3 linked regions of the Macaca mulatta genome follow. The protein of the gene in region 1 interacts with the protein of each later gene in a biochemical or structural test. Links are inferred from orthologs where the notes say so. Each region holds a gene or a part of one and is shown on either strand. Other genes may lie near its edges. The genes, in order: TMED10, COPG1 and COPZ1.

Region 1 (4,142 bases):
CAAGTCTCGCTCCGTCGCCCAGGCTGGAGTGCAGTGGCGCCATCTCGGCTCACTGTAACCTCCGCCTCCCAGGTTCGAGCAATTCTCTGCCTTAGCCTCCCAAGTGGCTGGGATTACAGGCGCCCGCCACCACGCCCGGCTAATTTTTTTGTATTTTTAGTAGAGATGGGGTTTCACCATCTTGGCCAGGCTGGTCTTGAACTCCTGACCTTGTGATCCAAAGTCACAAGGCCTCCCAAAGTGCTGGGATTACAGGCATGAGCCACTGTGCCCGGCCGTTTATTTTCATATATTCTTCAGCTCTGAATATTTGATAGCATCTCAGTAATAGTTTGTTAAATCAATAAACGTGTGGACATACATGCATAGTATAGTGTCTGGCACACAGTAGGTACTCCATTGAATGAATGTATGAATTATTACCATGTCAATTTGCTTGTCTATTTGCAATTGATCCCTAAAGTGTTTGTGAACTTACAACACACACATATTCACTTTCCCTGACAACACTTATCTGCTAAACCCTTAACTATGTTCATCTGAGACTGGACCAAAACATGTTGTTTTATTCAATTTAAATACCAAATTCAAATTTGTTTTGAATATAGCTTAGAAGACATTCAATGTTTGCTAAAATAATAATAATAACAATAATAATAATAATAATAACACCATGTACATTCAGTTAGCCAGACAGTTAACTCCAGCCCAAATACCCTGCTCTGGGACATGAATTGGATGTCTGCCCGGCACACATTCATCAGGTAACCTCTACAACTTCTCTAAGGTACTGGTCCACACTCGCTAATAGCCAAGTTTAAATCTTTCCTCGAAATTTTCCTCTCTAGTGTCTCAATGCCCCAGGTGTCATCCAGGTGTCAAAGGCGCCGAGAGTGCCTTGCAACCCGCCTCAGCCTCGGAGACTCGGCCTTACTCCCCGCCCGCGCGCCCAGCCGGCCGGTGGGCGGGCCCAGCAAAGGGTCTTGTGGCTGTTTCCTATTGGGGCTTGGTTGCTATGGTGTCACTCGCCTTTAAACTCTTGGGTACATCTTTCGGAAGTTAAAGGAGAATTACTTCCAGGGTTGCCCATACTTGCCATGGCCGACTTAGTAGTCACTAAGTTCAACGAAAATAAAACTTTTGCAACAGTATTCTATTAAAGCTTCTTTAACCACTTAAGTTTGTGGTTTTGACATGGTACCTATCCCTTCTTCCCTTTTCAAAAGATTCGCTACAGATTCTTTCTCTATTTGCCAGACTCCAAAATGGCGCGGACGGCATCAGTAGGTCAGAGGTGAGTCACGTGGGTCCTCCCGGTTCCGGCGCGGTAGAGGCCTTGGGTGGTGAACGAGTCTCCAGCACCATGTCTGGTTTGTCTGGCCCACCAGCCCGGCGTGGCCGTTGTCCGTTGGCGTTGCTGCTTTTGTTCCTGCTCTGCCCCAGCTTGGTCCTCGCCATCTCCTTCCATCTTCCCATTAACTCTCGCAAGTGCCTCCGTGAGGAGATCCACAAGGACCTGCTAGTGACTGGCGCGTACGAGATCTCCGACCAGTCTGGGGGCGCTGGCGGCCTGCGCAGCCACCTCAAGGTGCGGCACTGGGCGACATGGGGCCGGGAGGGAAGACTGCAGGCTTAGGCGAGGGGAGGCCCGGGTTCGGGGGAGTCGGGCGGGCGGAGGCCCGTGAGTTGTTCTCGCCTCTGGGGAGCGCAAAGGACGTGCGGTGGAGCCCGCCCCCTCACCCCGCTGGTTGCCTTTCGCGGGGCGGGGCTGGGCACCAACGCCTGGGAACCCCAAGAAGGGCTGCGAGGCTTTGGCGGATGTGGTGACACCTGAGCTGGAGCGGTTGTTGTCAACGTCCTATACCAGTTTTGGTCTCAGATACCTTGAACCGTAACTTGGTTCTCCAAATAAGTGTTGGGATGTTGAATATTTATGGGAATTGGCATCATAAGATACCGCGATACCTGCAGGAAAGTAATGGAGACAAAGCTGTGATTAATAGAATGTTATTGAGCATCTGCTGTGTCAGTTACTGTGCTGCTTTGCATATATTACCATTTGGTTCATGCACTATCCTATGAAGTAGATAGGTACTGTTAGCCCCATTTTACAAATGAGGAAACTGAGACTCAGAGGTAGAATAAACTAGTGTCACAGATGGAATAGATTCTTTTTTAAAAAATTATTATTATACTTTAAGTTCTAGGGTACATGTGCACAACGTGCAGGTTTGTTACATATGTGTACATGTGCCATGTTGGTGTGCTGCACCCATTAATTCGTCATTTACATTAGGTATTTCTCCTAATGTTATCCCTCCCCCATCCCCCCACCCCACGACAGGCCCCGGTGTGTGATGTTCCCCGTCCTGTGTCCAAGTGTTCTCATTGTTCACTTCCCACCTATGAGTGAGAACATGCGGTGTTTGGTTTTCTGTCCTTGCGTTGGAATAGATTCTTACTTAGTTTGGTAGTTAAGTATGTTGAGGGAAAAGCGCTGCAACCTTATTCCTTCCTTGTTTTAAATTCGTAATTTCTGTAATTGATTAAAGTCTATTATTGGTTACAAAATGGTCTCAGTCTCTAGTCCTTTTTCTTTGGTATACCAGAATCTGGACTTGGCTACTTTTATGTAAATACCAACTGTGCTCTTGGATGGTGACAACTACTACCATAATACTAGTTTGGTCCCATTCTGTAGCTAAGAGTAGCCTGGCCTGGTCTTTGAGACATTAATATAATTTGATATCTGTCAGTATTTGGTTGTATTTTAGGTAATTTTATTCATTCACAATAAGTAAAGTGTCTTTTTTTATTTCTTTGTAACACAATGAGGCTTGCTTTTCTTATGCTAAATAGTAAGAAACATTTTTACCTTTTTTTTTTTTTTGAGACGGAGTCTCCCTCCGTCGTCCAGGCTGGAGTGCAGTGGCACGATCTCAGCTCACTGCAGCCTCTACCTCCTGGGTTCAAGCGATTCTCCTGCCTCAGCCTTCCAAGTAGCTGGGACTATAGGCACCCGCCACCACACCCAGCTAATTTTTGTGTTTTTAGTAGAGATGACGTTTCACCATGTTGGCCAGGATGGTCTCGATCTCTTGACCACGATGGTGATCCGCCCGCCTCGGCCTCCCAAAGTGCTGGGATTACAGCCGTGAGCCACTGCGCCCGGCGGCCTCGTTTTTACTTTTTAATAGAGTTTCAGATATAATAAGACCGTTACTTATGTTAAAGTAGTGGAACCCAGTAGTGTGGTAATACATGTAGTTTATTTCTACTTTATTTGGGAGAGATAAACTATTTTCAGGGCAATTAATCTGTGACCCATCCTTTTATTATTCTCTTTGGGTACCAAACATCTCTCTACCCAGGAAAATAGTGATGGCATGATTTTAGAAGCTTAGACATAGTGTTTCCCGGGTGGGAGATCATGCTTCCAACTCTTCAGAGGATGTTCATGGACTCAGGGAATTTCAGCAATGAAAGAGACCTTGCTCTCATCTCCACTGTTGCTGTCTGATTTGTTCTTATATTTTAAAGCCCTTCAGTGGCTCACTATTGCTTATTGATAGTTTAAATTTCTCAGCATGCTTTGTTGTGCTCTTCATGATCTGTTTCTGAGCTATATGTGTGGTCACTTCCCACTTTGCATTCTACATGGAGCCACCCTGAACAGTACCCTGAACTCACCTATTTTCTGAACTGTTTTTGTTTATGCCTTGACCTACTTATTAGACTGTTAGTATCCTCAGGGTAGGAACTATTTTCAGATTCATCTTTTCAAGAATGCCAGGCATATTACCTTGCTTCTAGTAAGTACTCTAAATAACAGGAAATGTAGTTTAGCATGGCCTTATGGGAATTACATTGAATCTAGGGCTGGTGAAGGGACCTCAACAGCAGGACTTTAGGCCGGGCTTGGTGGCTCATGCCTGTAACCCTAACACTTTGGGAGGCCGAGGCAGGTGGATCACCTGAGTTCAGGAGTTCAAGACCAGCCTGGCCAACATGGTAAAACCCGGTCTCTACTAAAAATACAAAAATTAGCTGGGCATGGTGGCGTGTGCCTGTAATCCCAGCTACCTGGGAGGCTGAGGCAGGATAATCACTAGAACCTGGGAGGCGGTGGCTGCAATGAGCTG
Region 2 (3,653 bases), on another chromosome or scaffold:
ATCTGGCATACAGGGAATTACATAGCATTCTCAGAGGTCTGCTTCCTATGCCTGTCATTTCTAGGGGATGATGAGCTCTTCAGGAGCAGCAGCTGTTTCTAGTTCAGCAGAAACCTCCTACCCCAGCTGTGTCCTCTGGATTTGACAGATCCTGAATCTCTGTCTCCATTTCAGCTGTGTCTTCTCTGAACTTGACACATAATACTCCCACTGAGTCCACATGAAGGTTCCCCATTCGTTCTCCCATCAGATTTTCACTGAGGCCCTACTCCTGTGGATGTTTACAGTGTATATAAATATAACTTCGACCCAGCTCTTTTTTTTTTTTTTTCTATCATCTCTGGGTGGGCTCAAACAGACCCAGCTCTCTCAAGGAGCTCACTTGGTCTTAAAGCAGCTCCTGCCTCAGGGTCATTTCCAGCTTAAGGAAGGTCCATCCATCCTCAACTGTGACTCTAGGATGACACAATGGTGAATGTCAGCTGTATTCCACCATGACTGTCCCTCTAGTCAGGAGGAGTTCTAACAATCCCCATCCACAGGCTAAGCGTAATGGTCTGCACTCAGATGGCCCTGAGCCACTGCCCCAAGGTCAGACCCCAGAAGGATCCTGTACTTAGTTCCATCGAGCTAAGATAGGAGAATTTAGAAGGGCTATTCCAGTGCATGAAAGGACTGCCCAGCACGGCAAACAGGTCAAATGTATCCAGAAAGCATTTGACAAAAGGAATCAAAATGTCTTAAAATCATGCTTACCCTTTGACCCAATTATTCTCCTTCTAGGAATCTATCCTAAAGAAATAATCTAAAATGCAGATAAAAATTTGTATCTAAAGGGATATTTAGTGCAGCATTATAAATAGTGAAAATATGGAAACCCAAATGCCCAACATTCAAGGAGTGAAAGGTCAATCAAGTTTTGACATAGTATATAACAGTATTTTAAATCCACTAAAAAAATTGTGTTTATGAAGTATTTGTAATGACACTGGAAAATACACTATGGTTTTAAAATAGCAAGGTCTACATTATAAGAATGATTCCAATTATACCACTGCCCCCCAAAAGTAACTCTGAAGATTATGAGTAATGTTTTCCTGTTGTTCATACTTTTGTTTTGTATTTTGTTTTTGTATTTCCCAAGTTTTCTTTTTACACATGAACATGTATTTCCATAAGTTTAAAAAGTTATTTTAGGCCAGGCGCAGTGGCTCACGCCTGTAATCCCAACACTTTGGGAGGCCAAGGTAGGTGTATCACCTGAGGCGAGGAGTTCGCAACCAGCCTAGCCAACATGGTGAAACCCTGTCTCTACTAAAAATACAAAAAATTAGGCAGGCATGGTGGCGGGCGCCTGTAATACCAGCTACTCGGGAGGCTGAGGCAAAAGAATCACTTGGGGCCGGGCGCGGTGGCTCAAGCCTGTAATCCCAGCACTTTGGGAGGCCGAGACGGGTGGATCACAAGGTCAGGAGATCGAGACCATCCTGGCTAACACAGTGAAACCCCTCACTACTAAAAAATACAAAAAACTAGCCGGGCGAGCTGGCGGGCGCCTGTGGTCCCAGCTACTCGGGAGGCTGAGGCAGGAGAATGGCGTGAACCCGGGAGGCGGAGCTTGCAGTGAGCTGAGATCAGGCCACTGCACTCCAGCCTGGGCGACAGAGCGAGACTCCGTCTCAAAAAAAAAAAAAAAAAAAAAAGAATCACTTGGACTCGGGAGGCAGAGGTTGCAGTGAGCCGAGATCGTGCCATTGCACTCCAGCCTGGGTAACAAGAGAGAAACTTCATCTCAAAAAATAAAATAATAAAATAAAATTTTAAAGAGCTAAAAAGTCAAAAACAGCTCCAGTCTGTCTGTCAGTTTCTGAAGGGAGTTGCTTTGCAGCCTCAGCACAAAACTGAGCTTCCTGACACCAGGCTCTTACCACATACTCATCCTCATAGCCTTCGTCATCGGTCTCCCCAGTGGTGGGATCACAGTCCTTGACGGTGAACTTCATCATGCAGCTGAATGTGCAGGCCACTGTGGGGAAGAGAGACTGGGTAGTTAGGAAGTCCCCAGACTGCAGGGGACGGGCTCCTCCTGCAGGGAACAAGCAGGCAGGGGTCACAGCCTGCTTTCTAGGCCCCTGCTATGTTATTAGTAGCAGCAACAAGCCATACAATCCTACAAAGCTGGACAGAGGGCGCCACCTTGTAGGACAGGAAAGTCAAGTCATGAGTTCTAGTGAGATCCTGTCTCTTTAAAAAAATTTTTTTAAAGAAGAGCATTTGGGACTCAGCTATTCTTCTTGGGACTGAAATCAAGGAGCTGAAGCTCTAATAAAAGGCAAACAACTGGTGCCCAGTCGCCCACCTCCTGATCCCATGAGCTCCCATAAGGATAGGGTGGTATCTGGAGAGGGTCTCACCAGCTGTGGGGTCTTCTTTGGGCAGTGCCACCAGTGTGTAGCAGGTCCCAGGCTGGTTGTAGGGCAGGCTCCGGGCAGGCACATAACAGAGCACCTCATAGGCCTCAGTGGGCTCCATCTGCACTGTGACATTCTCCAAGGTCTGGTCATTGAGTGTGTTTGTGCAGTCAAACTGAACAGGGAAGAGAGGGGAGCTTAAACATTGCTCTAGGTCTGATCCATGCTGCAGAGGAAGAGCCAGGAGGTCCCACCTCTTTCCTGTTGACCAAGGTGATTCCCATCCCAGTCCCCCTGCCCCAGGCTCCCTGTCTCCATGCTGATAATCAGGAGCCATGGAGGCCCTGGGTCAAGAGATATGTGAGACAGGCATGTTGGGGACAGATTCTGTCATCAAGTTGGGCTCCCAACCAACACAGTGTGGGGACCCATGTCCCTACAGGACCTGCCAGACCTGGGACAACTCCCTGGGCGCATGCCCCAGCAGGGCCTCAGCCCACCTTGCTCACCTGAAAAACCATGTGGTTGGTGAAGGTGTGTTTGGTGCAGCGGATGACATACTCCGTCTCTGACTCAGTGAGGGCCACGGGCTCAGGCGAGGACTTGAAGAGGGGCCCAAGTCCCCGGAACTCTGGCACCGCCGCCAACTGCTCTGAAATCCACAGGCCACATTCACTCAGCTTCTAAATCCCCAGACCAACTTGTGATGGTTTCTAATAAATTCCCATGACCATTCTCAAGGTGTTCCACCTACCTTAGATGGATAAATATGTTTACCCACCTGGCTACTCATTATTTCCTGAATATATCCATGCATTTTCTCATCTCCCTGACTTTGCTCATGTGATACAACCCCCAACAAATACTCTCCCCATCTCTGTACCATGAAAGACCTCAGAAGCAAAACACTGATATGAGACCACAAAATCCTAGACCTAATTGGAGATTCCCCCGGTTTTAGAAGCTTAGCAAGGATTTCCACCCCCTAGCTCAGCAAGGATTCTTAAAAGAAGGTGACAATTAGGAAAATAAGATCAATTAGGAAAATAAGATCGATACTACTATAGCTACAAAATCAGACAAAGTAACAAACTGGTCCTATATATTTGTCAGTTAAGACAAATGGCCAATAAAGAGATATTTCAGAATGAGAGCGTTGCAGAAAACCCAACTTAGAATGGTCTGTGTCTGGTTAAGACCTATGCCTACACCCTATGGCCAGGTTCAAGCACTGGATTTAAG
Region 3 (2,474 bases), on another chromosome or scaffold:
AACAAATCCAGATGGACTTCTTGGTGAGAATGCCAAGCGGGTAGAAAACAGAACCCCTCCCTTCCCCCTACATCAGGTAGACAATCTATCTGCAGTCAAGGTAGCAAGATGGATCTGCAAAACCTGCATATTCTAGAATATGCATTTCCAGCTTAGCCCTCATTTGAATAATAAGAGAAAGAGAGAGTGTATGCACAAATGCACACAGACCATCTGCTTAAGGCAAGCCTCTGCTGGGGAATAAATCACTGAATGAGGCATCAGGCAAGGAAGGTTTGAAGGGTACAGAGCAAGGTTGACAGCCACTGTTCACAGGAAACTAAGAAAGGAGTTGGAAGTAGGGGTAGGGAGTAGCTGGCTATATAAGTCCCAGTTCTCTGGAATAAGAGGGAGCCAAGAAAGATGTGTCTTGAGTCTCCAGTCTCACTCAGACTTGGGAGGTATGGGTGGAATGCTGTTCTAGCCTCTTTAGTGATGCAGTCCATCTGGAAAGGAAGAAGGGAGAAAGTCATACCTGAGACACGGTCTGCTCCGTAAGGGGGACATCTTCACCCTATGGCACAGAGATACAAGCATTTAGTGTGGGAGAAAGCTGGAGTAAGACCTGATTGGAGTCTGGTATTAGAGAAGAAAAAAGTAATCCTTTAAACTGAAACAAAGGGCAGATGCGCTGAACTTCTCAGTCCCTTCTGGGGACTAGGACAGCTACAGTTTTACTTGGCCAGAGGGACTATGAACAAAAAAGGGTCATTTCATCCAGCTTCCATTTTAAGGCAGGAGGACTTCTTAAAAGATTTAACTCCATTCCGAGTAACCAGCAGGTTATCTGATCCTCAACTCCCTTAACTTGGGGGTGGAGGACCTGATTCTCTAGTCAGAAAAGGCCTTCTCTGAGTATCAGTATTGCTAGGGAAAGGATGAGGGGGAGCCAGGAGTGGTTTAATGGATCCCGCAAAGCCTGATGGGTAACGACAGCATGTTAATTTGAAGAAATAAACTGCTGCAACAGCAGCCTGAGAAGAGAAAGGGGGGAGTTGGTGGGGGGACCCTCTCTCTTGCCACATAGAGACATATGTTAGAGGAGAAGATTAAACTATGCAAATGGAGCCCACAGCAGTTAAGGGAGAAGATTTCCCATTACCAAGCACTGTCAGCCTTCACTCTGTGGAGGTCAGAGCCAGGACATTCTGTGAATGGGGAGAATTTGCTTTGCTCAGACATCTCTGCACCCGTATAATTTGCTTGTGGGCTCTCTGCATCCACCATTATCTCCTCAGCTGACCTGGGGCCTTCTATGGTTAACTCAGAGGCCCCTTTCTGATATCACTAGCACCAAAGAGGACTGAGGTTCTGAGGTTCTGGCAAATACGTACTTCCTGATGGAGAGGCACCATCCTCAGTTATGTAACACTTTATTTATTTATTTATTTATTTATTTTTGAGACAGAGTCTCACTCTGTCACCCAGGCTGCAGTGCAGTGGTGCAATCTTGGCTCACTGCAACCTCCACCTCCCAGGCTCAAGCAATTCTCCTGCCTCAGCCTCTCGAGTAGCTGGGATTACAGGCACGCACCACCACGCCCAGCTAATTTTTGTATTTTTAGTAGAGACAGGGTTTCACCACGTTGGTCAGGCTGATCTCGATCTCCTGACCTTGTGATCTACCGGCCTCCACTTCCCAAAGTGCTGAGATTACAGGTGTGAGCCACCACACCCAGTCCTATATAACACTTTAAAAGACAAAAAAGACACTCTTCTGCCTCAGATGATTGGATCCATCTCCAAGAAGGAAATAAGCCAACTTCAAGTTCCTTTATAATTTCAAAACCATAAATATTAGTTTATTTTATCACTTATTAAATAAATATGTATTAAATGTCCACTTTGTGCAAAGACTGTATGAGATGTTAGGTACCTTATTAGGGGTAGAAATAAGTTCTTTCTTCTTCTTTCTTTGGGACAATAAGAAGGGAAGGAAAGAGAAAGGCTGAATGTATTTGAAAGAAAAAGAGAAGGTTCTATGTATCCTATGAGCCCCAACTACTAGACACATCCAGCAGGTCTGGCTGTGGAGGGTGTTTGTGAATAGATGCGGGGATGCAGAGAAACACATTCCTGCTTACCCTTAATGCCACCCGGTGTACCACCTGCTGGGGATCACTCTCGAGGATCACCCTGCAAAAACAAAGAAGAGATCACTGTTCACTCTGTCCCGAATGCCCAACTCACTGTGGGGGAACAGGACCTCTGGCCGCTGAGCCTGCTTGACTTAGGACAGGGGCAGTTATCCCACTACCTCACCCAAGATCAAGGCAGGTCAGAGAACTTACCCTCCATCTACAATTTCATCCACAGCCAAGAACAGCCCCTCCATGTTCTCCAGCAGTGCTCGCTTTTCTACATTTTTCCTGAGTCCCCAAGAGAAGAGAAGAAAAAAACCAAATTGTGTGTGAAAGAAATCCTAGGACCTTGTC

Evidence for each region.
Region 2: the proteins of TMED10 (region 1) and COPG1 form a complex in vitro, tested with the Homo sapiens proteins (2 studies listed by BioGRID). The link is inferred for Macaca mulatta from reciprocal best matches to the Homo sapiens genes TMED10 and COPG1.
Region 3: the proteins of TMED10 (region 1) and COPZ1 form a complex in vitro, tested with the Homo sapiens proteins (2 studies listed by BioGRID, with this or other methods). The link is inferred for Macaca mulatta from reciprocal best matches to the Homo sapiens genes TMED10 and COPZ1.

The regions. Positions count from the first base shown.
Region 1 is NC_133412.1:148,368,085-148,372,226, reverse strand, and holds the start of TMED10 (transmembrane emp24 domain-containing protein 10), read left to right. Parts: upstream 1-1,329; 5' UTR 1,330-1,363; coding exon 1,364-1,588; intron 1,589-4,142. UniProt on the Homo sapiens protein: Cargo receptor involved in protein vesicular trafficking and quality control in the endoplasmic reticulum (ER) and Golgi.
Region 2 is NC_133407.1:154,684,804-154,688,456, forward strand, and holds part of COPG1 (coatomer subunit gamma-1), read right to left. Parts: intron 3,095-3,653; coding exon of another isoform or gene 3,064-3,094; coding exon 2,921-3,063; intron 2,587-2,920; coding exon 2,415-2,586; intron 2,027-2,414; coding exon 1,929-2,026; intron 1-1,928. UniProt on the Homo sapiens protein: The coatomer is a cytosolic protein complex that binds to dilysine motifs and reversibly associates with Golgi non-clathrin-coated vesicles, which further mediate biosynthetic protein transport from the ER, via the Golgi up to the trans Golgi network.
Region 3 is NC_133416.1:61,543,483-61,545,956, reverse strand, and holds part of COPZ1 (coatomer subunit zeta-1), read right to left. Parts: intron 2,409-2,474; coding exon 2,331-2,408; intron 2,176-2,330; coding exon 2,124-2,175; intron 554-2,123; coding exon of another isoform or gene 515-553; intron 486-514; coding exon 261-485; 3' UTR 1-260. UniProt on the Homo sapiens protein: The coatomer is a cytosolic protein complex that binds to dilysine motifs and reversibly associates with Golgi non-clathrin-coated vesicles, which further mediate biosynthetic protein transport from the ER, via the Golgi up to the trans Golgi network.